3 linked regions of the Lytechinus pictus genome follow. The protein of the gene in region 2 interacts with the protein of the main gene of each other region in a biochemical or structural test. Links are inferred from orthologs where the notes say so. Each region holds a gene or a part of one and is shown on either strand. Other genes may lie near its edges.

What was found. The genes of interacting proteins can lie anywhere in the genome.
Region 1: of the proteins of NEDD8-conjugating enzyme Ubc12-like (region 2) and NEDD8-activating enzyme E1 regulatory subunit-like, one has a biochemical effect on the other in vitro, tested with the Homo sapiens proteins (4 studies listed by BioGRID, with this or other methods). The link is inferred for Lytechinus pictus from reciprocal best matches to the Homo sapiens genes UBE2M and NAE1.
Region 3: the proteins of NEDD8-conjugating enzyme Ubc12-like (region 2) and cullin-associated NEDD8-dissociated protein 1-like form a complex in vitro, tested with the Homo sapiens proteins (2 studies listed by BioGRID). The link is inferred for Lytechinus pictus from reciprocal best matches to the Homo sapiens genes UBE2M and CAND1.

The regions. Positions count from the first base shown.
Region 1 is NC_087246.1:57,534,481-57,542,115, reverse strand, and holds the start of NEDD8-activating enzyme E1 regulatory subunit-like, read left to right. Parts: upstream 1-4,403; 5' UTR 4,404-4,418; coding exon 4,419-4,571; intron 4,572-5,319; coding exon 5,320-5,382; intron 5,383-5,591; coding exon 5,592-5,807; intron 5,808-6,428; coding exon 6,429-6,562; intron 6,563-7,635. UniProt on the Homo sapiens protein: Regulatory subunit of the dimeric UBA3-NAE1 E1 enzyme. E1 activates NEDD8 by first adenylating its C-terminal glycine residue with ATP, thereafter linking this residue to the side chain of the catalytic cysteine, yielding a NEDD8-UBA3 thioester and free AMP.
Region 2 is NC_087253.1:11,989,354-11,996,803, reverse strand, and holds the start of NEDD8-conjugating enzyme Ubc12-like, read right to left. Parts: upstream 3,165-7,450; 5' UTR 2,961-3,164; coding exon 2,858-2,960; intron 1,055-2,857; coding exon 960-1,054; intron 1-959.
Region 3 is NC_087245.1:25,057,818-25,065,766, reverse strand, and holds the start of cullin-associated NEDD8-dissociated protein 1-like, read left to right. Parts: upstream 1-4,717; 5' UTR 4,718-4,862; coding exon 4,863-4,904; intron 4,905-6,756; coding exon 6,757-6,858; intron 6,859-7,773; coding exon 7,774-7,841; intron 7,842-7,949. Other genes in the region: T-box protein 1-like, read right to left, coding at 1-119. UniProt on the Homo sapiens protein: Key assembly factor of SCF (SKP1-CUL1-F-box protein) E3 ubiquitin ligase complexes that promotes the exchange of the substrate-recognition F-box subunit in SCF complexes, thereby playing a key role in the cellular repertoire of SCF complexes.

The sequences.
Region 1 (7,635 bases), on a different chromosome or scaffold from region 2:
ACTGGGATGTACATATAAGTTTCTAGTCAAGCAAAACTTTAAAAATGTCATAACTTAATATCTTTACATCAGATTTTGATGAAATTTTAAGTGTTACGCTCGTTGTGTTTTTCTCTTTTTATTCAAATCAACTTTGTGGGGGTGGACTTGTCCTTTTATATCGTTTTCAAGTAATTGTGTCAGGAGAAAACAAAAATGAAATTCTTTTATCAATTCTGTCCATATGCTGCATGGTTCATCGTTCTTGCAGGAGGCAAAAAATAAATTTATATAAGAAAGTCTTATTTTATTTACTTTCAGATAAAAATTGTGCTAAGGAGAGATTAAGGTTATGTGTAAGACAGGGGTGGTGGTAATGGTATGTTGGTTAAGGTTGTGTATGAAGAAAGTCAAGTGATTGCTTGCTTGTGCAGGAGGATATACTTCAAGAAACTTGTTGTAAGGCATAATGCAAAATTATTTATAATAGAACTTAATTGAGAGAAAAGTATTTGGCACGTTAAGATGCACAATAATGTACATGTGATTGAAGCAAATGAGAAATGAAAGGAGTAAAGGTAGCTACATGTGTCACTGAGAGAATTGCCTGTGGTGTTATATTTATAGCATAAATCTTTGTTTAAAAGTTATTTTATTTTAGGAAATTTAGTCCCTTCAGTTTGAAAGTATAGAGGGCGGACCATGGACCACTGACCATGGAAAAAAGTCCCCCCCCCCACCAAAAAAACACAAAATAAAAAATATTACCAAGAAAAGAAAGAAAGGTGAAACACATTATTTTCTGAATATTATGTCAAATCTATCACAAAATTGGATATTTGATATTAAAATTTTTAATATTTTTCCTTGCTCGCAAGTTTTTATTTTACCTGATATGCCATATTTAGCCCACTGATATTTCCCCAATTTCAAATATATTATTATGATTGGGTGGAATACCCTTTACACTTATCCAGGATTGATAAGTCTTTATTTTTCTGATAAGGAAATTGTGTTTCCTTTAAGGAAAAAAATACTGCAAGCATGGTGAATAGCTTGACCCCCCCCCCCCCTCCAAAGCAAACTGGAGTATATAGGTTAAGGTTGGGAATAATGCGATTGCAAGAGTGACCAGTGAGTGTGGAGGAGCTACCAATGAGTATCTCAGCTCCTTTTAGAGATGTTGGTAGAACTGACGTATAGAATAGGGAGGGGGGGCCTTGGGGCTCTTGCCCCCCCCCCCCCAAAAAAAAAAAAAAAAAAAAAAAAAAAAAAAACACGACCAAGAAAAAGATAAAAGAAATGAGGGTGAAATAGAATATTTTTTGATATTATGTGAAAATCTAACACAAACTAGGATTTTAATGTCAATTTAAAAAAAAATTTGCTCGCTTAATTTTTTTTTTTAAATCAATTTATCGAGATACACCATATAAAAAGACAAGAATAAAATGAATTGAAAATATTACTTCGAATGGGAAAGTCAATTCTGAGGGAAAGGAAAAGAGGCACGCTTGTGGACGCGAGATCAGATCAAGGTCATGTCGCTTCACCCCACGCGACGCTGGCCCCACCATTTACCAAGTACATAACCCAAACAAAGATTCAATTCCATATTTCCATTTTCTATCAAAGCTAGCTCCGGGCAAAGTTCCACCGGACTTCGATAAGGTAGGTAGGATTATACAATCAGATTGGTTATGATTTAATTCAAACAAATGTGCACTTGATCTAGATGTAATTGGCGTGTAACGTTAGATTTATTTTTCCGTAGATCTAAGTAACTTCCTCAGGCCTAAAACGCAGTTACGGCACGCTATTATAGGCCTAGATCCACGTCTAACTGCACTGTAAATACGATGGCGATCGATCTGGACTTCATATTAGACCAAAAAGGCAAAAAAAAAAAAAAACTTTGGTCTGTGTCATTGTTCCGCTGGACTCCGTTGCCTCCACTAACCAATTGAGAAATAAGAAATTGAAAAAAAATGTGTAAAACCCCCCGAAAAAGCCGGCTGCTGCAGCTGTCTAAAAAAGGTTAAAACTTCTTCACGTTGCAGTGCACCTACCACACGGTACCGTACATTGACGGAGTTTGAACTTCTCGATACGGTACGATGCTGCAGGCGCAGTCGAGCTAGCTCGCACGCAGGCAGCGCTAACGTTAGTCCGAACCTAAGTTGGTAAATATTAACAGATAAGTAATGACAATGTTCGTTGTCAACACCTCATTGCTAAGAAATTCAAGTTCATGCTGCTGATACATGATTTTGGGGTTGAGTTCTGCTTCCTAACTCATGTGATGCAATGGCGACATTTCATATGGCCCTAGCAGACGAAACTCTCAAATACGGCACTGGGCATGCTCAGTACTGCTTTATTACACTGAGCATGCTCAGTGCAGTGTTATAATAGTATGCTAGCTTCAGTCCATGATTTAATCCATGGACTAAAGTTATCACCGGGGTATAACTCAGCCGTGGGTTAAATTTAGCACCGGGTGCTAAAGTTAGTCCATGGATTAGTTAGTCCACCGTTTGTGAATAGCGCGGTGGACTAACTTTATACCCCGGTATTAGTTAACCCCCGACTAAATTTAACCCCGGTATAACTTTAGTCGACCTTTGTGAATTCGGGCCAAGATGAAATGAGATGAAGTACAAAGAGTTACAATTGATCTGTTCAGTCCATCAGTGTCATAATTTTTTCTGTAGGATATTTGCTCAATGTCCTTTGAAAACAAAGAGAAGCATACTGAAAGCTTGGCGTTTACCAGCAAAAATGCTGTCCTGCAGAGTTCCTACGAGGATACCATAAACAGAAACACAAACAAACAGAATAAACAGAATTGTCCAGAAAACAGTGAATGTAAGGATATACATCATTTCTAGAAAATATTTTGAACAAACATGTATGTATTTTAGATGACATTACTGGCTTTCTATAGTTGTGATTGATCAAATCAATCGCAACTCTTTACAAGAGGCCCCATTTTTGTCTCACCTGCATAGCAGAGTGAGACTATAGGCGCCGCTTTTCCGACGGCGGCGGCGGCGGCGACGGCGACGGCGGCGGCGGCGGCGGCGGCGTCAACACCAAATCTTAACCTGAGGTTAAGTTTTTGAAATGACAGCATAACTTAGAAAGTATATGGACCTAGTTCATGAAACTTGGCCATAAGGTTAATCAAGTATTACTGAACATCCTGCCTGAGTTTCATGTCACATGACCAAGGTCAAAGGTCATTTAGGGTCAATGAACTTAGACCATGTTGGGGGAATCAACATCAAAATCTTAACCTAAGGTTAAGTTTTTGAAATGTCATCATAACTTAGAAAATATATGGACCTAGTTCATGAAACTTATACATAAGGTTAATCAAGTATTACTGAACATCCTGTGCAAGTTTCAGGTCACATGATCAAGGTCAAAGGTCATTTAGGGTCAATGAACTTTGGCCAAATTGGGGTATTTGTTGAATTACAGCCATAAATTTGAAAGTGTGTTGGTCTAGTTCATTAAACTTGGACATAATAGTAATCAAGTATCACTGAACATCCTGTGCGAGTTTCAGGTCACATGATCAAGGTCAAAGGTCATGTAAGGTCAAAGAACTTCGGCCACGTTGGGGGTATTTGTTGAATTGCCATCATATCTCTATAAGTGTATTGGTCTAGTTCATAAAACGTGGAAATAAGAGTAACCAAGTATCACTGAACATCTTGTGCGAGTTATAGTAGTTTTCAAAATCAGCACTGCTGCTATATTGAATCGCGTGATGCAGGTGAGACGGCCAGAGGCATTCCACTTGTTCATATATGTTTATGAAAGAATAACTTGATGATGACAAGTGACTAGTAATGTGTCTAATGGTATCTAAAAATACCATTATTATTATTATTACTGCCTTATCAAGATGCACTGGTTTAAGGGGTAAGGAGATGTTCAGTTCAAGTGACTAGGCTTGGTAGGATGAGCCATAGTTCTTTTAAGTCTTGTTAGCTGACTCATTGAGAGGCTGGACTATGGTGGTTGGTGATTAGGCAATAATAGCAATTTGATATTTCTTTAATACATGGGGAGCGAGTAAAAATGTCAATGTGAATGACTGAAAGGATAACAGTAGTTATAAACTAAATAACATAAATAATAATTGAAGAGGCTATTAAAGTGATGGGTGACACTGCTAGTGATTCAACAAACTTGAAATTGATTTTGATTTTTTGTTGTTGAACCATCCTCTGAAGCACAACTGTATGTAAATTTGTTTATTATTGACAATGCTGCGTATCATACTTGGAGAAAGATACTATGAGGATTGGGCATTTGTGGTTATATATGAGATTTACAGAGATCAAACAAAATGTCTTTACTTGCCCCACCCTGAACCAAGTTTTACCTATTATTAAAAGTGGAAAAGAATTGCTGACAAAGCCAACATGGATTTAAAAAAAATCATAAGTCTCTTTTTATGTCTTTCAGTAATCGAGTCTCATCCAGACAATGCCCATGATGACCTGAGACTGGATCGTCCATTCTCTAGTTTTAAAGAGTTTGTCGGGTCATTTGATCTTGCTTCTATGACAAAACAGGTATGATATGGCCTCATAAAGGCTTAGAGGTGCCAGAAATAATTTTAATGCCACTATTTAATCGTCTAGATTCTTGGAATTCTGGAATCAAGACAATTCTGATACAGAACGACATCAGAGGCCTTTAAAATCAGTTGATGAAAAGCGATATATAAAGCTTATTTTCGAAACCTGATAGAGCTATTCTTAAGCAAAATACTCTATTGGCAAGCAGTGAAAATGCATAAACCTAGATTATAATAATTGCTGTGTTTTGTAAGTTTATAAGCTTCAATTAGTGTTTAAGACCCCTGTTACACAGGATCTCCTTTGAGACTGCTTTGGATTCGGTGTAAACGCAAATCTGCCCGAGACTGGTCTGAGAAAGGTTTGCTTGATGCACTACAGGTGGAACGATTATCCAAACAACAAACACAGCGCGTGCTTGGTGCCCTGCCAAACCTATCTCAGACAGCTTTGGTAAGTTGGTGTAAACGCACAGAAAGCTGTCTTGGGGTGCCTAAAGGCTCGTTAAGATTCCGGTGTAATAGGGGGTCAAAAATTTAGGTCAACTTTTTGGAAACCAGTCTCGGGTAGGAAATCCGGTAAAACAGGGGTATAATTTGTCAATATCACTTTTAAGTTCAGTCAGGGTCTTTAATGCCCAACAACAGTCTCATTTCAGGTTTGGTGCTGTGGCTAATGTAAAAATCATAAATTCAAACTGTAGTAGCAATAATCATGACCTTTGTTGATTTTATTATTACAGGACCACATGCATACGCCTTACCTTATCCTTTTACACAACTACTTGGAGGAATGGAGAAAAGAGGTAAGATATGATTGGATTTGATTATTTTTATGCTTCGGTAAGAATAATACAGTTGTCTGAAAACTGAGCATAGGCCTATGCAGATTGATTTTTATCATTCTTTCCCCCCCTTTACCTTCTGTTGTGTTTCCCAAACTCTCTCTTCTTTCGTTTGAGAAAGATACTAAAACAGAAGTATAAAGTGAAATAATATTTGTTTTGTTGAACAGCATGACGGTGAGATACCCAAGAACTACAAAGAGAAATCTGCCTTCAAGGAAATGATCAGGCGAGGGATTCTGGTCAACGAACATGGCGTGCCTGAGCTGGAAGAGAACTTTGATGAAGCCATCAAGGCTGTCAACGCTTCCCTGACGAAGACCAGGATCCCAAGCCAAGTCCAGGACATCCTGACAGATCCTGCCTGTACTAGTCTAACTTCAGAGGTAGGTTGGACTGCTTGATTCTCCCAAAGACCTCATGCATTGAGTGTCATCGCGCTGCCATTAGAGGCTGAAGCTATTGCCTTCAAACATTTGGGATCTCCAGCTGGCGCATCTCTGACAACATTGTTTACCTTTATTCCTATAAAAGGAGGGCGCTATAAGGTTATCATGTCATATGCATGAGGTCTCTTGATGTCAAACCACAAATTAGTTACTCAGCTATTACTGTGGTGTACAAATATTTAAATGTTTCCCAAGCATAATGGCCTGTATTCACAAAGGTAGTTTCACTTGTACCATGGTACAAATTCATGGACTATGTATGTTTTGTGCATATCATAACGCCTATTTCACTGTGAAAGAAGACTCCAACCAAATTTGTCCTTTTTGCAAAGAGGGCTTCATTTTTTGTTGTATGATGTGCAATAATACAAGAAATCTGCATAGTCCATGGTACAATTGAAACCTCTTTTGCAAAGTTAGTTTTATTTTATATAAAAAGCTACACAAAATCTTAGCAGGTTTTTACATAGGATTCTGTAGAACAGTGTTGAAGATTTCCCAAACAGCCTAAACTTCCAATTTGAGATTGAAGTTATTTTTTCTTCATTGTTTTTGTAGAGTTCAAATTACTGGATCTTAGCCCAGGCAGTCAAACAGTTCACTGAGAATGAAGGAAATGGAGCACTCCCCCTACGAGGATCTATCCCTGATATGACGGCTGATTCCAAGAGATACATACAGCTCCAAAATGTGTAAGCAAAAGCAAATACTGAGTTTTATTTTGTTTGTTATGGTGTCAAAATATGTTATGAAGTAAAGATTGATTAAAGTTATATATATATTTAAGGAGTTAAGTTAAAAAAAAGTTGTTACTGTTCACAACTATCATATGATTAGACTTCATCCTCTATGAAGATCCATCCCTCATATGACTACTAGTTTCAAGAGATACATTCAGCTTACAGTTACATGTACATACATGTCTGTCCTTTGGATAGGATGTTAATGAAGGCCCATGGAGAGGAGAGTCACCAGCTAGTTAAGAACCCACTGCACTCTACTATAAGACTACATGTAGTACTGGTGTAATGGTCCACCTGCACAACCGCTATCAGTTATATCGGGAGAGAGATCCGATGGTCATAGTGATTCAGTTTGATTTTTGCCTTCTTGGCACAGGTGGCGGCGCCAAACAAAATAATATATGATAATAGTAAATAATAGACAGTCAAGAATCTATTTAATTTTACATTATATTCATATTGGACATTGGTATTGACTTCAATAGTAGGTCCTGCTGGAGAGTGTTGAAAGAAAACAAATCAGATTTATCTCTATGACTGGAAGGGTGTCCAGTAAGTCTAAAAAAATCTATTTAGATTTTTGGTAGTGGTTGGTTATTTAATTTGATGGTGATATTTCAATTCAAATTCTAAAATGAATTTATGGAAAGTCAACTGTAGGGTTTTAAGATGTAGGTGTTTTATAGGGATAATTTTGTTCCATTTGCAAATGTTACAAAACCCAATGGCAAAAAACCCCGATTGTTTCAGCTACAGAAGTTGATTTTGTGGGATCGGAATGTGCACTGCAATTAATATTCATTAGCTAATTTGCATATTCATGAGCAAGTTTGATTTCACCAAAGGAGGGTCTCTTGGAGGATTATTCAATCAGGAGGATCATTGTAATCAATCTGATCAGAGGTTGAAGTCTAATCATGTAATAGTTGTGAGTGCCCAGACCAATTGTTTTACATTGTTGTACTTTGACTAGGGAATTTCTGACATAGCAGCAAATAATATACAAATAGTGACTGACAGGG
Region 2 (7,450 bases):
AGATGGTCCTGAAAAGTCACTCACTAGGTGTTGAGCAGTCAATATTGTGATCGGCAATTCGGCATTAATTGTGTAAACTCAGAATAGGTTTTGGGGGCTAGTAAACGCAATCCAAAGTGTGCTTTCAACACCAACTCTGGACTTGAAATCCCCCCCTTTCAAAATTACCCCCTCGTGTGAAGGAACAAAATTGTTGTGCAACATACTGCCAAGGGGGATGTACATGTAAAGGCCACCGAACACGATCCGATTTCGGAACATATCGCATATTGCTAATTTTCTGAAAATGTGAATAGAACATATCATTTTATTTGAGGTTAAAATTAATTGAAAGAATACTAATATAGCCTAACCATTTTGTAAGATTGTAAGCCTTTATTTTAGAGTAAATGCCAAATTAGTTTCAAATCGTAGCCAATCGTACGACTGCTATGACGTCACTACGACTAGATATAAAATTTGCTTTTATTCTAAGAAGGATGTTAGCATAGTCACAGATTTGAACATAGGGATTCGTACGATGATTTCAAACATTACGCAGTAAGATATTCCAAGTCTCAATATAAGCATCAAATTCTACTACGTTTTATTCCAAAATTGAGTCGCAGACCAATCGCAAGGTGTGCGGTGGCCTTAACATAAAAAAATATGTCTGATATTTATAGTTGATAAACTTGTTTCTATGCAGTCAAAGAAACGATCATATATTTTAGCTAGAAAAAGAAGTTGCATGGAATGTTGGACTTGCATACTAAAAATATTGTGCGAGACTATAACAATTTTTTTTTTTTTGGGGGGGGCAATATGGGCATTTTGTCCAGGTTCAGAATACAGGCCTATGGGTAATTCCACCTGAATGTAACAAATTAACAAGTGAAGATCAATGCAGATGTGACCAGTTTTGATTTTTTCAAATGTGAGGAAGGTTTCCGATATAAGAATTGAATATAAACACTTACTTCATCTGGCTGTATGGCTAGTTTGAAAACAAGTAAATCATCAGGATCAGGGAAATCTATCTGACATGTCTTTGGTAGATTCAGCTCCCCAAGATCTGAGCATGACAGAGAAAAAAAAAACAAATAAGAAATATTACACCAACTTCACATTCTGTTTTTAAAACAAGATTATGTTCAAGCTTAATGAAAATAGTGGCCCGAATTTAAAAAGGTAGTTTAATCTAGTCTTGAGGACTCCATGATGATGTCTTTTTAAAATCCTTTGACATATACTTCTTCATCATTGGAGTCTTGAACCCCCGCCCATATATGTATATGAGACCCAGGTAAACAAAGATGGATTTCCCTAGGAAATCCATCTTTTCATAAAAGAATCACGTAAAATATGTTGATTTTATTCATTTCTACACCTTCCTACGCCTAATGCGAAGGAAGGTTTTAAAAAATGGTCCCTAAAAATGTAAAAAAAATGAAGGTTTCTTACCAGACTGATGTCGTGTAGATCCCTCGATCCACATGTACACAATGCAAATACAATAGCGTCGACCCTTGAACCGCTTATGTATGACGTACTTCCGATTAGCGAAGCCATTTTGAAGAACAATTTATAGATAAAAATTATCATTTCACAAATACTACAATTTAACACATGATTTATTTTTAATTAGCAGTATTGTTATTATTTATAATCACGTAATAAATTTTAGTATTTGTGAAATAATAATTTTTATCTATACATTGTTCTTCAAAACGGCATCGCTAGTCGGAAGTACGTCATCACGAAGCGATTCAAGGGTCAGGTCTATTGTCTTTGCTTTGTCGACAAATGGATCGAGGGATCTACGGGAGATCGGGTCTGGTAAGAAACGTCTCATTTTTACCATTTATAGTGAAATAATTTTTATCACTTTATATGCATTAGGCGCCTGAAGGTTCATAGATAAATACAATTCGACAATACAAACCGATCTCACCCTCTAACTGTGATTAATAATTTTGCAGGTAAGAAAGGTTCACCAATTCAATTGTTCTTAAAGTAGACCAAAAGCTTCGGTCTCTGTTATGTTGGTTGTTCAGCTGAACTCCGTTGGCTTCACTCACCAAATACAGAGACCGAAGTTCTAGCGCGATCTGTACAGGGGACTCAATGACCATATGTTTATGTGTATAAAGTTCGGATAAAACAGGGCAGTGAAGTTGCGCGACAGCCGAGGTAAGTCACTGTTTTTGTTCCTTTTAACTTGATTTTCCCCCTTTTTTGGCAATTAATGCCAAGAGGGAATATTAATTTGCATTTCGGTAGCGTTAATTTTCAAAAAATTGATTCATTAAAGACAAAAATTGAAGAGCCCCGACGGGGGGATTTTGCATTGTAAGTCCCCTGATGGTGGCTGCACGATAGCGAGCCGTCTGTGTATGAGGAGAAATTTAAAAAATAAAAAAATGTTAAAAAACTCCTCGAAACAGACGGCTGCCTGCTGTCTATTCTTAAACTTAAAGTTGCTCTTAACTTACATTTTACAAACAGCTTTAAGAAACTCTCACCTGGCCTTGGGCTGGATTTTTATTCTTTTTACTTTTAATTTTAGTTAAATATTTCCTCATTATTTTGAGAAATTTGACAATTTATTATACTTTATACTAGAGTAGACCCCTAATCAATAATAATGAACAGGTTTGTGAAATTCTGAATCATTGATTGACATGGCATTCCAATGTTATATCATATTCATAATCATCAATTTAGATTTACTTTATTTCAATTTCAGAAGGTATTTCTTTTTGACGGTTCAGTATGTCATAAAAACATTCAAGCGAAGACAGAACAGCAAAGCGATGGACATTCAATTCAGCTGATCACGCACTCATTTCATTTCATTCATTCAATTCGACATCACCTTTCTGCAGTCGCAGCTGTGCAGCGGACGCTCTCTTCCCGTCTCCGTCCGACCGATCTGCGGCAGCTTCGGCCTGCTTTTTCAAGGAAAACAATTTAATCATCGTGCATTCCAGTAACACTTTCTCGTTGGCATCAACTCCTTCTTTTAAAAATTCAAGGTCTCTATCTGCTCCAATCTGCTATTCGTGAAAAAACATTGTCCGATTTCGCAGTCATCACCTTAGTTCCGCCTATTGTGTATCATGTATTGTGCAAGCTGCACGGAAGAAAATGTGTGTGCGTTTACAAAGGTCAAAGTTCACTATAAGCACAGTGCGCGCAAATACAACCCGCATCGGGATGACCTTAGATGACCTCAGGGCGGGGTTGCCGAATATTTGGGTTATTCTCTTTTTACCTTTTATAGCTGACTGTGGCAGTCCTATAGCTCTCGATTAGTACGACAATACACCAGACGGTGGACTGCACTGTTTCCAGAAGAAGAAGAAGATTAATCCGACGTCCGAGCTGCATGCATGGCCAATGCATGCAGCGTTTAACATTAATTTTTGTCTGACAATATAATCATGATAATTGTCAGATCTGACAAATTCCTTGATTTTGATTGGCTGAGAACAGGACTTGTCGGATAAAACATCAGACAAGTCCTTTAATGAAACGTATATCACTGCGACTGACTTCTGTTTAGTGGGGTAATGAGCCAGATCCGTTTTTGTCAATTTTGTTAGGATACTTAATTGTTGCCCCCCAGTTAGAAATTACCATACAAAAAAAAACCAAGCCGAATTTTTTAATAGGCCTCTCCGATTTTGAGATTGAGGATGGTGGCTGAGCCGAAGTTGGGGGGGGGGGGGGTGGTGCATGGGGGACCGGGCATAAAACTCATAATCTTATTAATTGTCGCTGCCCCTCCCTTACAAAAAATTCCTGCAGTACTTTAGTGGTACTCTGTTGTACCTGTGTGATACTTCTGTCATACACGACGGTACCTCAGAATTACCACAGGACTTCTGTGGTATCACTCTGTGATAGTTCTGTCATACTTCTGTGGTACAGGAAAATATGAAAATTTCCTGCAATACCTTAATGGTACTCTGTCGTACCTGTGTGATACTTCTGTTGTACAAAACTGTATATAGAATTACAACAGGACTTCTGTGGTATCACTCTGTGATAGTTCTGTCATACTTCTGTGGTACAGGAAAATATGAAAATTTCATGCAATACCTTAATGGTACTCTGTCGTACCTGTGTGATACTGCTGTTGTACAAAACTGTATATAGAATTACAACAGGACTTCTGTGGTATCACTCTGTGATAGTTCTGTCATACTTCTGTGGTACATAAAAATATGAAAATTTCATGCAATACCTTAATGGTACTCTGTCGTACCTGTGTGATACTTCTGTTGTACAAAACTGTATAAGGAATTACTACAGGACTCCTGTGGTATCACTCTGTGATAGTTCTACTTCTGTACGTAAAAATATGAAAATTTCATGCAATACCTTAATGGTACTCTGTCGTACCTGTGTAATACTTCTGTTGTACATAACTGTATACAATATCACTCTGTGATAGTTATGTCGTACTTCTGTTGTACATGAAAATTCTAAAATATCCTGCAGTACTTCTATGACAACCCTGCGATACTTCTGTTGTATATGAACATTTTTTAAATTTCCTGCAGTACTCCTATTACTAAGCACTTCTATGGAAACCCTGTGATACTTCTGTGGTACATGAACATTTTGAAATTTCCTGCAGTACTCGATCCTATTAAAGACACTTCTATGAAAACCCTGTGATACTTCTGTGGTAAATGAAAATTTTGAAATTTCCTGCAGGACTCAATATAGGCACTTCTAAAATTCTATGGCAACCCCAGTGCTATACTTTCAAAATTTCCTGCGGTACTTCTCATGCAGCCACCCCAGAAATATGACTGAAAGTGTATCACAGACGCTATACTGGTGTATTTTCTGTGGTACAGTACATGAAAAAATTAGTTTCCTTCAGTACTTGTATGGAAGCCCTGTTTGTACCACAGACTAATTTTTTTATTTCCAGTGAGGGATTTATCTTTTTTTTCAGTTTCGGGAGAGGTCAGTAGCGTATTGAGTCTTATATTTTTAGAAGGCCATATGGCTTAAAAGGGCACCATTCATTTTAAAAAGTACAATTTTTTATATGAAAATTTAATTTTGTGATAGCTAGATTGTGACATATAGGCCCTATTTCAAAATTATATTTCACCCTGTCCCATTGTGTAGGTCTATATCAGCGAGGGGGGGGGGGGTTATGCCTACTGAGACTCAGAGGTTTTAAGTTTGATAGCTTCTATTTCTACGAGAAAGGGTACTATACGTACTAGATCAAAACTAGGAGCAAAGCGCGAACTGAAAAATGCGAAAAATTATTGACCCCAAAATGGGCAACTTATATTTTGAGGACTATTGTTCGTTTTCAGGGTTATTTCTTTTTCATGCGCTCTTTTAAATTTCAATTATCATTTTTGTTTTGTTTGTTCGCCACTTATTTTTCATAAAAAACAGGATGAATAATAAAAAAATGACTATATTTAAAAGGGTACGTGTTGAAATATACAGGACACACCTAACACTCTTAGAGCTTAATGGTTGTGAGGAAGCCGGGTTGAATTTCAAAGAGATATTGTAATGAATAAAAATATAAGCATGAACGTATTATTCTACTTCATCCATCTCTTTCTAACAATACAAGAAAATAATTGAAGGGGAGGTCAACGCTAGAGATAATCAATAAATAGAGTAAAATTCACAAAACAAAATGCTTAAAATTTATTCAAAATCGGATGACAAATAACGAAGTTAAGTTGAATTTTAAGGATTTGCAATATTCCCATGAAACAGTTTTATTTAGGCATGTCTCATGAATATTCATTAGGTGGGCTGATGATGTCATATCCCATGTTCTTTTGTACAATATATGAAATTAGATTTATTCAACATATTTCTACCAAGAACTTAAACAATTGGAATGACGACTAATTAACCGCATTAGTTATTTAATGCAGCAACTTTACAATGGGGACACATTATTTACACATGTATTGAAAAAATAGATAATCATAATTTCATATCTAACATTAAAAAAGAAAAATGGGAATGTCACATCATCAGCCCACCAAATGAATATTCATGACGATGTGCACACTATCTGTTTTCACAAAATATTGATAAACAATTAACATAAGAAAGTTCAGCGTTGAATGTTGATTAAAAAATAAATCTCAGTTAAAATGCTATCTAAGATTTTGTTTTACACGTTTCATAACCAAGTTTTAATGCGATTCTGGCCCCTTAAAGTTTTTATTGCGAGAAAATACATTTTTCCAAGTTTCCCATCTATTTTTTTATTTTATTTTTTTTGTAAAAAGGACCTATTTTCTTACAAATATATTATTATAAATAAAATTACTTCAATATTTGTTCTCCTATTCACAATATTTTTTACAGGTGGAATAGGATAAACTAAAAATAGGATATTTAATTTCCATTTTAAGGCCCATTTTTTGCTTTATATCCCCGGTTTATATCTTTGCCACCTTGCAATATGTTAGCCAGGCTGGTTTATATCTATTTCTTTTTAAATCAAATAAATTTGGATATTTTCAATCTATTTTTATGATGCGAAGCTATATATAGTTTGTAAATATGTTTTTTAATTGCAAGAACAATCTTGTATCTCTGTTCACATATGATGGCAGTTTATTTTGCTTCTTTTTTTCTAATTTGTATGAAGTTTGTATCTATATATTTTCAAACTATTTTCCATCCTTAAAGTGTCACAACCGATATCATATTATTTTTTACCTCGTTGGCAAAGTTATTATCTTTTCTTATGTTTCGCTTCAAAATGGTATCTTTATATTTGCTTGTCTTGCTCCTCCACCCCTTATCAAAATACCCTGCCGGCACTTGATCTAAGATTATTTTCTTTTACTACTTGAACCTTATAAAGGGATCTTTCCTTCGATCGCAAGAAAGGATAAAATGTGTGTTTTTGAAAAGAAATAAAATTAAAAATACATAGGATTGGAGCTGTGATTTTCCTCATTGCTTTCTTTGTCATCCTACTTGCATACTAGTAGGCCTATATAACATATTTTCAGTAAAATTGTGAGACATGTTTTTAAATCCTATCCATATTAAAAAAAAGAATAAAGAGAAAGAAAAAAATTAAAAGACATAGAAAAGAAAAAGAAAGGAAGAAGAAATAAATATTTGAATTTTACTTTATTCAATTCCTTTACGTTAATAATATGATATATAAATGATGGCGAAAATAGTCAAATTGTCTGGTTGCCAAGTAAAAAGTAAGACCCCCCCCCCCCCCCCCCCTCCGAGCTCCCCGTACAAACGCGCGCACGGACTGTACCGTATACGTGTTTCCGGTTCCGCCATTTGAAAAAAAACGTTCGTAACTGCTCAGCTGAACCCGAAGCTTGATGAAGAAGGCCGTCAATATTTCAACAAAAACTAACAGAATATGGATCAGATTCGGACAACGACTTCTTAAGACATTCACACAACAGGCTAAACAGTAAGT
Region 3 (7,949 bases), on a different chromosome or scaffold from region 2:
GTTGATTCACCATTAAGATTCTCATCTTCAGAAACGCAAATATTTTCTTCTGGTTCTGTCTTTAGAAAGTTAGTCGTGTCTGTTGCTGCAGCCGCATGCTGAAATTCATCTCCCATCATAATCTTCTGAAGCCCAAAAAAATCTCGAAAAAAAGAAATCGCGCCAAATCAAAAGGCGCAAACGTGATAAAATTCAATCCCTTTAGGACAAAGTTGGAGTGCGAAAATTCGGTTAGCAGTCATGAATAAACAAAGAAGTGACAAGGCGTGAACGCTGATGAAATACCTCTCTTAAATGTTAACACTTTTCCTGAAATTCCCCTGGCGTGATGTGTGTGCGATCATCTCATTTGGGCGTGAGACGATGATGAACCGTCAAATTTGCAGGAACTGTCAAAATCCAACCTGCGAAACGTCTTTTACATGAAAAGACTGAACACAATAGTGAAGAAGTTAGTTAAACTTTGCCTGGATTGAGCATCGCATGCTATCATACACATTGACGTTTCGCTTGGTTGACTCTCTTTATATTACGTCATAAGTAAGGCACCACTCTTCGGGGACTTGTTAATGAGGCCTCCCTGTCTGATCTCGTGGGGCGACCAGACAATGGCGACTTGAACGCTGATTGGTCAAGAGGGAGGCACGCGACTTGAAAGTAACATTAGTTGACAAACGGATAAAAAGAATTGAGTTATAGAATTGGCATAGAAGATGATTGTTTATTTTGGAACTACCATATGCCAAGGGGTTTTGATGCTTATTTCATGGACAAACAGAAGACGATATATAAATTCCTTGATCTGCTAATTAATATACGTGTTCAGCTTTCTCTATCCTCCTCCTCCCGGGCCTCCTCCTCTCTTTCTTCTGCTCCTTTAAGCTATTAACTGCTTCCTTCATTTCTGAAAATTCATGCATTATTAGTAGCGGGAAGTTTTTCTTCAAGTCTTCTTCTTACTCTTCCCTTTATTATATTTCCAATATACTTCAAGATGATTAGGCCTACTATATACTACTACTACTACTACTACTACTACTACTACTACTACTACTACTACTACTACTACTACTACTACTACTACTACTACTGCTGCTGCTGCTGCTGCTGCTGCTGCTGCTATTGCTGCTGCTTCTACTACTACTACTACTATTACTACTATTGCTACTATACTACTACTACTACTACTACTACTACTACTACTACTACTACTACTACTACTACTACTACTACTACTACTACTACTACTACTACTACTACTACTCCTACTCCTACTACTACTACTACTACTACTACTACTACTACTACTACTACTACTACTACTACTACTACTACTGCTACTGCTACTTCTACTACTACTACTACTACTGCGACTACTGCGACTACTGCTACTATACTGCTACTACTGCTACTACTGCTACTACTACTACTACTACTACTACTACTACTACTACTACTACTACTACTACTGCTGCTGCTGCTGCTGCTGCTGCTGCTGCTGCTATTGCTGCTGCTTCTACTACTACTACTACTACTACTACTACTACTACTACTACTACTACTACTACTACTACTACTCCTACTACTACTACTACTACTGCTGCTGCTGCTGCTGCTGCTGCTGCTGCTGCTTCTACTACTACTACTACTACTACTACTACTACTACTACTGTTACTACTACTACTACTACTACTACTTCTACTACTACTACTACTACTACTACTACTACTACTACTACTACTACTACTACTACTGCTACTACTACTACTAATACAAGTAGTGCCTACTACTATTATACTACAATCATAAATGTTTTCGTAAAAAGTAGCTACCGCCTCTACTTTTCTATTAATTTTTTTAATGCTCGAAAAACAGTCATTGATGCTGTGACTTTTCTTGGTTTCAAGTCGTACGTACACAGCGTGGTAAATGGTTCTTATCTTAAATCAAAGAGTAAAACATAATAATATGACGGTGATTCTCGAATCCCCCTTGCTTTCTAGGAATGTGTTCTCAAGCCTCTTCCTCATCAGGGGGTCATTTCAAGGAAGTCTTCTCTCATGACATCATGAATAAATAATTAGTGGTCGAAGTTCAAATCCGACCGGAAGGGATTAGATGACCACTCACCAGACAGGAAAAGGTCAATGACCGCTTTGTGTTATCACCATTGGGTATACGGAACGCGCGTAGCAATCTCATATACACCTAATTATTTTGTTTTGACAGCAGTGGCGTACAGATGGGGGCCCTTGGGATGCTTGTCCCCCCAAAAAAAAATCACGACCAAGAAAAAAAAAGGAAAGAGAGAAGAGTGAAATATGATATTACTTTCTGAAAATTATGTAAAAATATATCACAAAACTTGATATTTATTATTAAATTGAAAATATTAAAAATAAATTTTGCCCAATACGCCATATCTAGCCCCTCAATGCCTTTGGGCTCATTACGACACTGTTTGAAAGTGTAGCATTTGCACGCCAATAGACGTTGTTAATAATATTGTAAAGTTTGGCGAGCGATTGCCTAGACAAATTAAGGGGGAATTCAGATGTAAAGAATTATGCCCATTGTGATAATGATGGTAAAGTTTATAGTGTACATGTAAAGCTATTCTCCGTATAAACGTGTATATATATATATATATATATATATATATATATATATATATGTGTGTGAAGTTATACATGTACTACAGCTTTGGCAACTCTTTTATTTAAATATTGTGTGAAAGAAATGGATGAAGAGAACAATGGTAGGCGTAGCTTAAATCAAGGTTCCCCAGAGCAATGTTTTATACATAGCAATGTTTTCCCGGCTTTAAGCCAGGAGCTCTGGGGAACCTTGATTTAAGCTACGCCTACCATTGTTCTCTTCATCCATTTCTTTCACACAATATATATATATATATATATATATATATATATATATATATATATATATATATATATACAAAACTGACGTATAGCCCATATTCAGTTTTGTCAACATGACAATACAGTTCTTCCATGGGGTCCATATACAATAAAAAAATAAACACATATGAAAAGAAGCATAACATATACAGTAATCAAACAAAATAACACAAAGGACATACTACAGCCTGGTTTGAGCATCGGGAGGTGAACATCTTGGGGAGGTGGAACTAATCCGCTGTTGAAAGCAGAAGAAGGGGTCCAAATTTCATTTTGCTTGCCAGTGTCGGAACTCCTCTGTCTCAGCGGGAGAGTGCACGGTGCACTCAGTGCACCCCCAGCCTATACGCCCTTGCGACCTGTTGCTAATATATGAAAGATTATGAAATTCAATAATTTGGCAAGATTTTACACAAAATCGTTTTATGAAATGCATTAAGCTGCTATCAAATTATTGAAACAAGTTTTTCACAAGGAGCAAAGGACTGTTGTATATATAGGTAAGAAATAATACACTCTAAATTCCAAGGATTTAAAATAAATCCAGATCGGCTGTGAATAGTGACCAGCTGAATATTAGATTTAGATTTAAACCTTGTTGATTTAGATATAAATCTAAAAGATTTAAATCTAAATCTTTTGAGATTTAATAGTTAATCCTTAAGATTCAAATGAATTTTAAAAAGATTTGGCTGGTCACTATTCACAGCCGATCTGGATTTATTTTAAATCCTTGGAATTTAGAGTGTAAAATTATAGGCCTACAATAATTATTGTGGAAAGCCATATAACACAGTTTATTTGTTCACGCATACAGTTTTTAAGAGCCGGACAGCTAAAGTTGAGGGCAAAAATATTGTTAAAGGGAATTAATAAAAAAAAAGTTGTATTAATGTTGATGGTGACTATTCTGCTTAGATGATGGATTAATAAAAACAACACAATAATGAAAAATAAGCAATAGCATCAATGATGATAAGTACAATGGTTTTAATTATGATATCGATAATCGCTAAAATAATGATAATGACATTTTTCCTTCGTTATCCTTTGATGTTTTTTTTTTTATTCTTCCTCCTTCATTTTCTTGTTTTCTTCTATTTTTCTGTTCTTCTTCTTAGTTTCATTTCCCTTCTCTCCTTTGGTTTCTCGTCCTTTTCTCTTTCTGTTTCTCAGTTCCTTTTCTTTCTTCAACTTTATTTCACGTTTTCACCCAAAATGTGAATAGAGATAAAAATGAAAATTTTGGAGCGACCCCTTGCTTGTCTATTTTTCTTGCAGAGAAACTTAGAAAGTATTGAATTTTTATAGACTTAATATTTTGACAGCCCCCTGAAAAAAAAATTCAACGAGCGAGTAGGCCTATTGCTCATAGTTATGAAGCTATACTTTTATAGATGATTGAAACACAAATTAATATTATTCTCTGTAACCGATGAAGAATCTCGAATTATTAGAGGCAAGATACCAGCTTTTGATTCACTAAAAATTAAAGATCATTTTGGTCCCGAGAAATTTCACAAGGCCCCCCTCCCCCACAACGGAGAGGGGTTCTCTATAAAATGAAGGTCATTTTTATCAATTTTTTCACACCTACCAGACCTCCAGGGGTGCTGCCTATGGAGAATAATACACGCAGCACCCCCGGAAAAATCTTGGGGTGCTTCAGCGGGGTTACAGGGGTAGGGCCATGTGGGACTTACTTATCGAGGAGTAAAAAAATAAAAGAATATAATAATTTTGGAAATAATGTATCTTCATCTTCTGCTGATAATGAAATCGAAAATAAGTTCAGCTCGATCGTTCTCGCGCATGCGCGTAAGAGTTGACAGTGCCATGTTGATCTTGTGAACTCAGATCATCTTCTATTAGGACTATTCTGCTTTACCTATAACCTTTTGAGACGTTCATCATCAATCTGGGTTAAGGAAAATCAGGAAACCATGGCAAGCTTCTCTTACATCATCTCCAATCTCTTGGAGAAGGTAATGGATACAAATTTTGTGTATTGTTCAGAGCAGCGTAATTTGCCGGGTACTGCCCAATTTCAGTCCCACACGTTGCGTACGGCGTATGTAACTCAGCGCAGTTAGTAAGGGAACACGGCTCCGCCGCCAAATTATTGTCGGCGTCGCGTCGGTGGAGTTCAGCCTCGGGATTCTTGTGAATGTGTGCGCGGCCAAGAATAATCGGGTTACCGTTGGTATAAGGTTCCAAATATTTCAAACAAACAGAGCAACAAAAAATAAAGTTTCCATTTATACTATACTATAGAGTCTTGCATCAATTTCATGATTCTATCTGTCCGTTATTCATTTATTGACCATGATCTGTTGTCACGTTGAAGAATTTTTTAAAAATAAAAATTGAAAAAGAGAGAAAGTTATAATTGTGACAAGTATGGAAATACTCTACAAGAGGGACATACTATAATGTAAGAAGAAGAAGGAAAAAAATAACCGGGTTCCAGTCTATCCATGCAATGGCAATGCAAAAAAGGTAAAATGCAAACTCGTTAGTTCGCCATCGGTAATATTTAATCAGCAGTGTTCAAACTTCAACTTTGCCAAAAAAAATTATACTTATAGTCTACCCAAATATGCGTATGAGATAAAAGTATCCACAAATTCTCTCAAATATTCAATTTTTCCCCTGATATATTGCATTTTTAAAAGTAAGAACGTCACGTACTTCCAGACCAGATCAATGATGGGTTTGCATGATAGGGTATAATTTAAAATGTTAATGCACCCTTTATTTGACATGTGCCAAGATTTAACATTCAATCTTGTTTTCACAAGCCAGCACTTATCCAATCATCACAACATTTTGTCATGGAATGAAGTTAAGTTGCGCAATCATAGGGCCGATTGGCAAGCCAGCTAGACAATTGAAGCCATGCAGTATTGTGATTGTCCTGCTTCATGATCGGCTCATTGGTAATGCGCAACAGCTTTCCTTAACAAAAGCCAAAATGGTGGTGTAAACATTGCCAGATTTTCTTTCTGGTTCGTCAGATATAATTTTTAAATACAGTAAAGAGGTTCTTGATTGATTCATAATAAGTTGAAATAATGGTAATTTCATACATGTATGTTCAAAGTTTAGTCAAATCCTGTTTTTCCATTACAGGTTTAAAATCCCATTTGATATCATGAAAGAAATAAATTATAAGTGTGATATGAGTTGGTCCCTCATTAGCATAGTGCTTGTGTTAGCTACATTGTTTTGCGATGTAGAAGTCTAGGCAAAAGTTAAAAGTGCTATTAAAACATTTTGATGTACACCTGATTTTGATGAAATTTTCATTGTTATGCTTGTTTGAGTGAAAACTATTTGTCATTTGGATGGACTTGCCTTCAAACAAAATAATGGTTAAAAAGTCAGGAATATAATTGACCTGTAGATGAATTTTTATTTTCTGAGGAGACAAAGTTTTCAGCCCTGATTTAATTAAGTCTCAATATTGTAATGTTTTCATATTTTGCAATCTTTCCCATTTACATTACAAATCCTTTTCCAAGTATGTTATTTTTTTATTGGGTACATGTACATACATGTAGACCACGTGATTTGCTGGGATGGCTTTCAGTTGTAGCTTTTGGGAATGGCAGGATCATGATTCATTTACTTGATGGGATAGTCCCTCATGCAGCTAAAAAAACTTGATAACTCTCTCCCCAGTTTATCCTTTTTTTTCTAAAGCCCCCTTTTTAAGAATCATTTTCTGTCTTGGTATGTTTTATTGCACATCACACAATCTAGTACCGGTAATTAATAGTTATATTTGGATTTGAAAAAAAACCCAACAAATTATTATATTAATTTTCTATACAGATGACGTCCAGTGATAAGGATTTTCGGTTTATGGCAACTAATGATCTGATGACTGAGCTTCAGAAAGACTCCATCAAGCTTGATGATGACAGTGAGAAAAAGGTAAGTACTGTAATTTTCCCAGCATGATTTACAACAGGGAAAAACTTACACAGTGTTTTAGGGTGATCTGCCAGCCAAAGTGTCACAATAGGCCTGATAGGTTTAGCCCCTATGTGTTTAATAGAAAAGATACCGGTAAATTGTGTAAGAATGAATTATTGTGATCATTTTTTTTGAAAAACTAAATCAAAATAAAACCTGCATTGAAACTAATGATTTTTTGGATGATGTTTGCTTGAGGTAGAATTTTTGTTGAACGTTTCTACCCCCACCCCCCCCCCAAGACAGTTGAGAATTGATAACAAAATTACGTTCATAGCTAAGGCCAAGAAATTGAATGTACTGTAAACTACCACATAAATGTCCATGGTTGGTGGCTGCAATCCCTTTGGGAATTTACAATAATAGGAAATAAAACTCAAGTATACATGCATGATAGATATTAGCTCCAATGAAAAGCTCTCATGGAAAGTGATTTAAGGTTTTGCACCACCTATTGTACATCCCTAATTTATATTTGACACTTCCATTTTGTTAAGAAATTTACATGATTTTTGTGATATGTAAGATATTGGTATACTTTATTGCTATCAATGGGCATCATGGCACAATAAACATTAAGTACTATTATTTGTGTTGTTACCCATGGAGCAAGCTGGGATAGGCGTTCATAAAGAGATTGTGGATTTCAAATTTCAGTAGATTTTTGAAATCCTAGTGCAATTGTTTTTATTTTCAATTTACGATTATCAGTACTTACTTATTCTTTAATCAACATAAAGCATACACACAAGTTAGGCCTGATGCATGAAGATTGGTTATTGACGTGTGTATTTGCCCATTATGAATATTGTAACCCCTTTCCCCTAGGTTTGAGTTCATAATTTGTTTCAAATTTTTCTCATAAAAATCCAGGTGGTGAGGATGCTCTTGAAGTTGTTGGAAGATAAGAATGGAGAAGTCCAGAACTTGGCCGTCAAATGGTAAAATATATATTCCATTGTTGTGAGATTATGTAGAAATTCCTACTTGTATGAGAGTTTTTCAACTTGTTCAACAGGTCTTTGATAATAGTTTAAAGTTAGATTAAA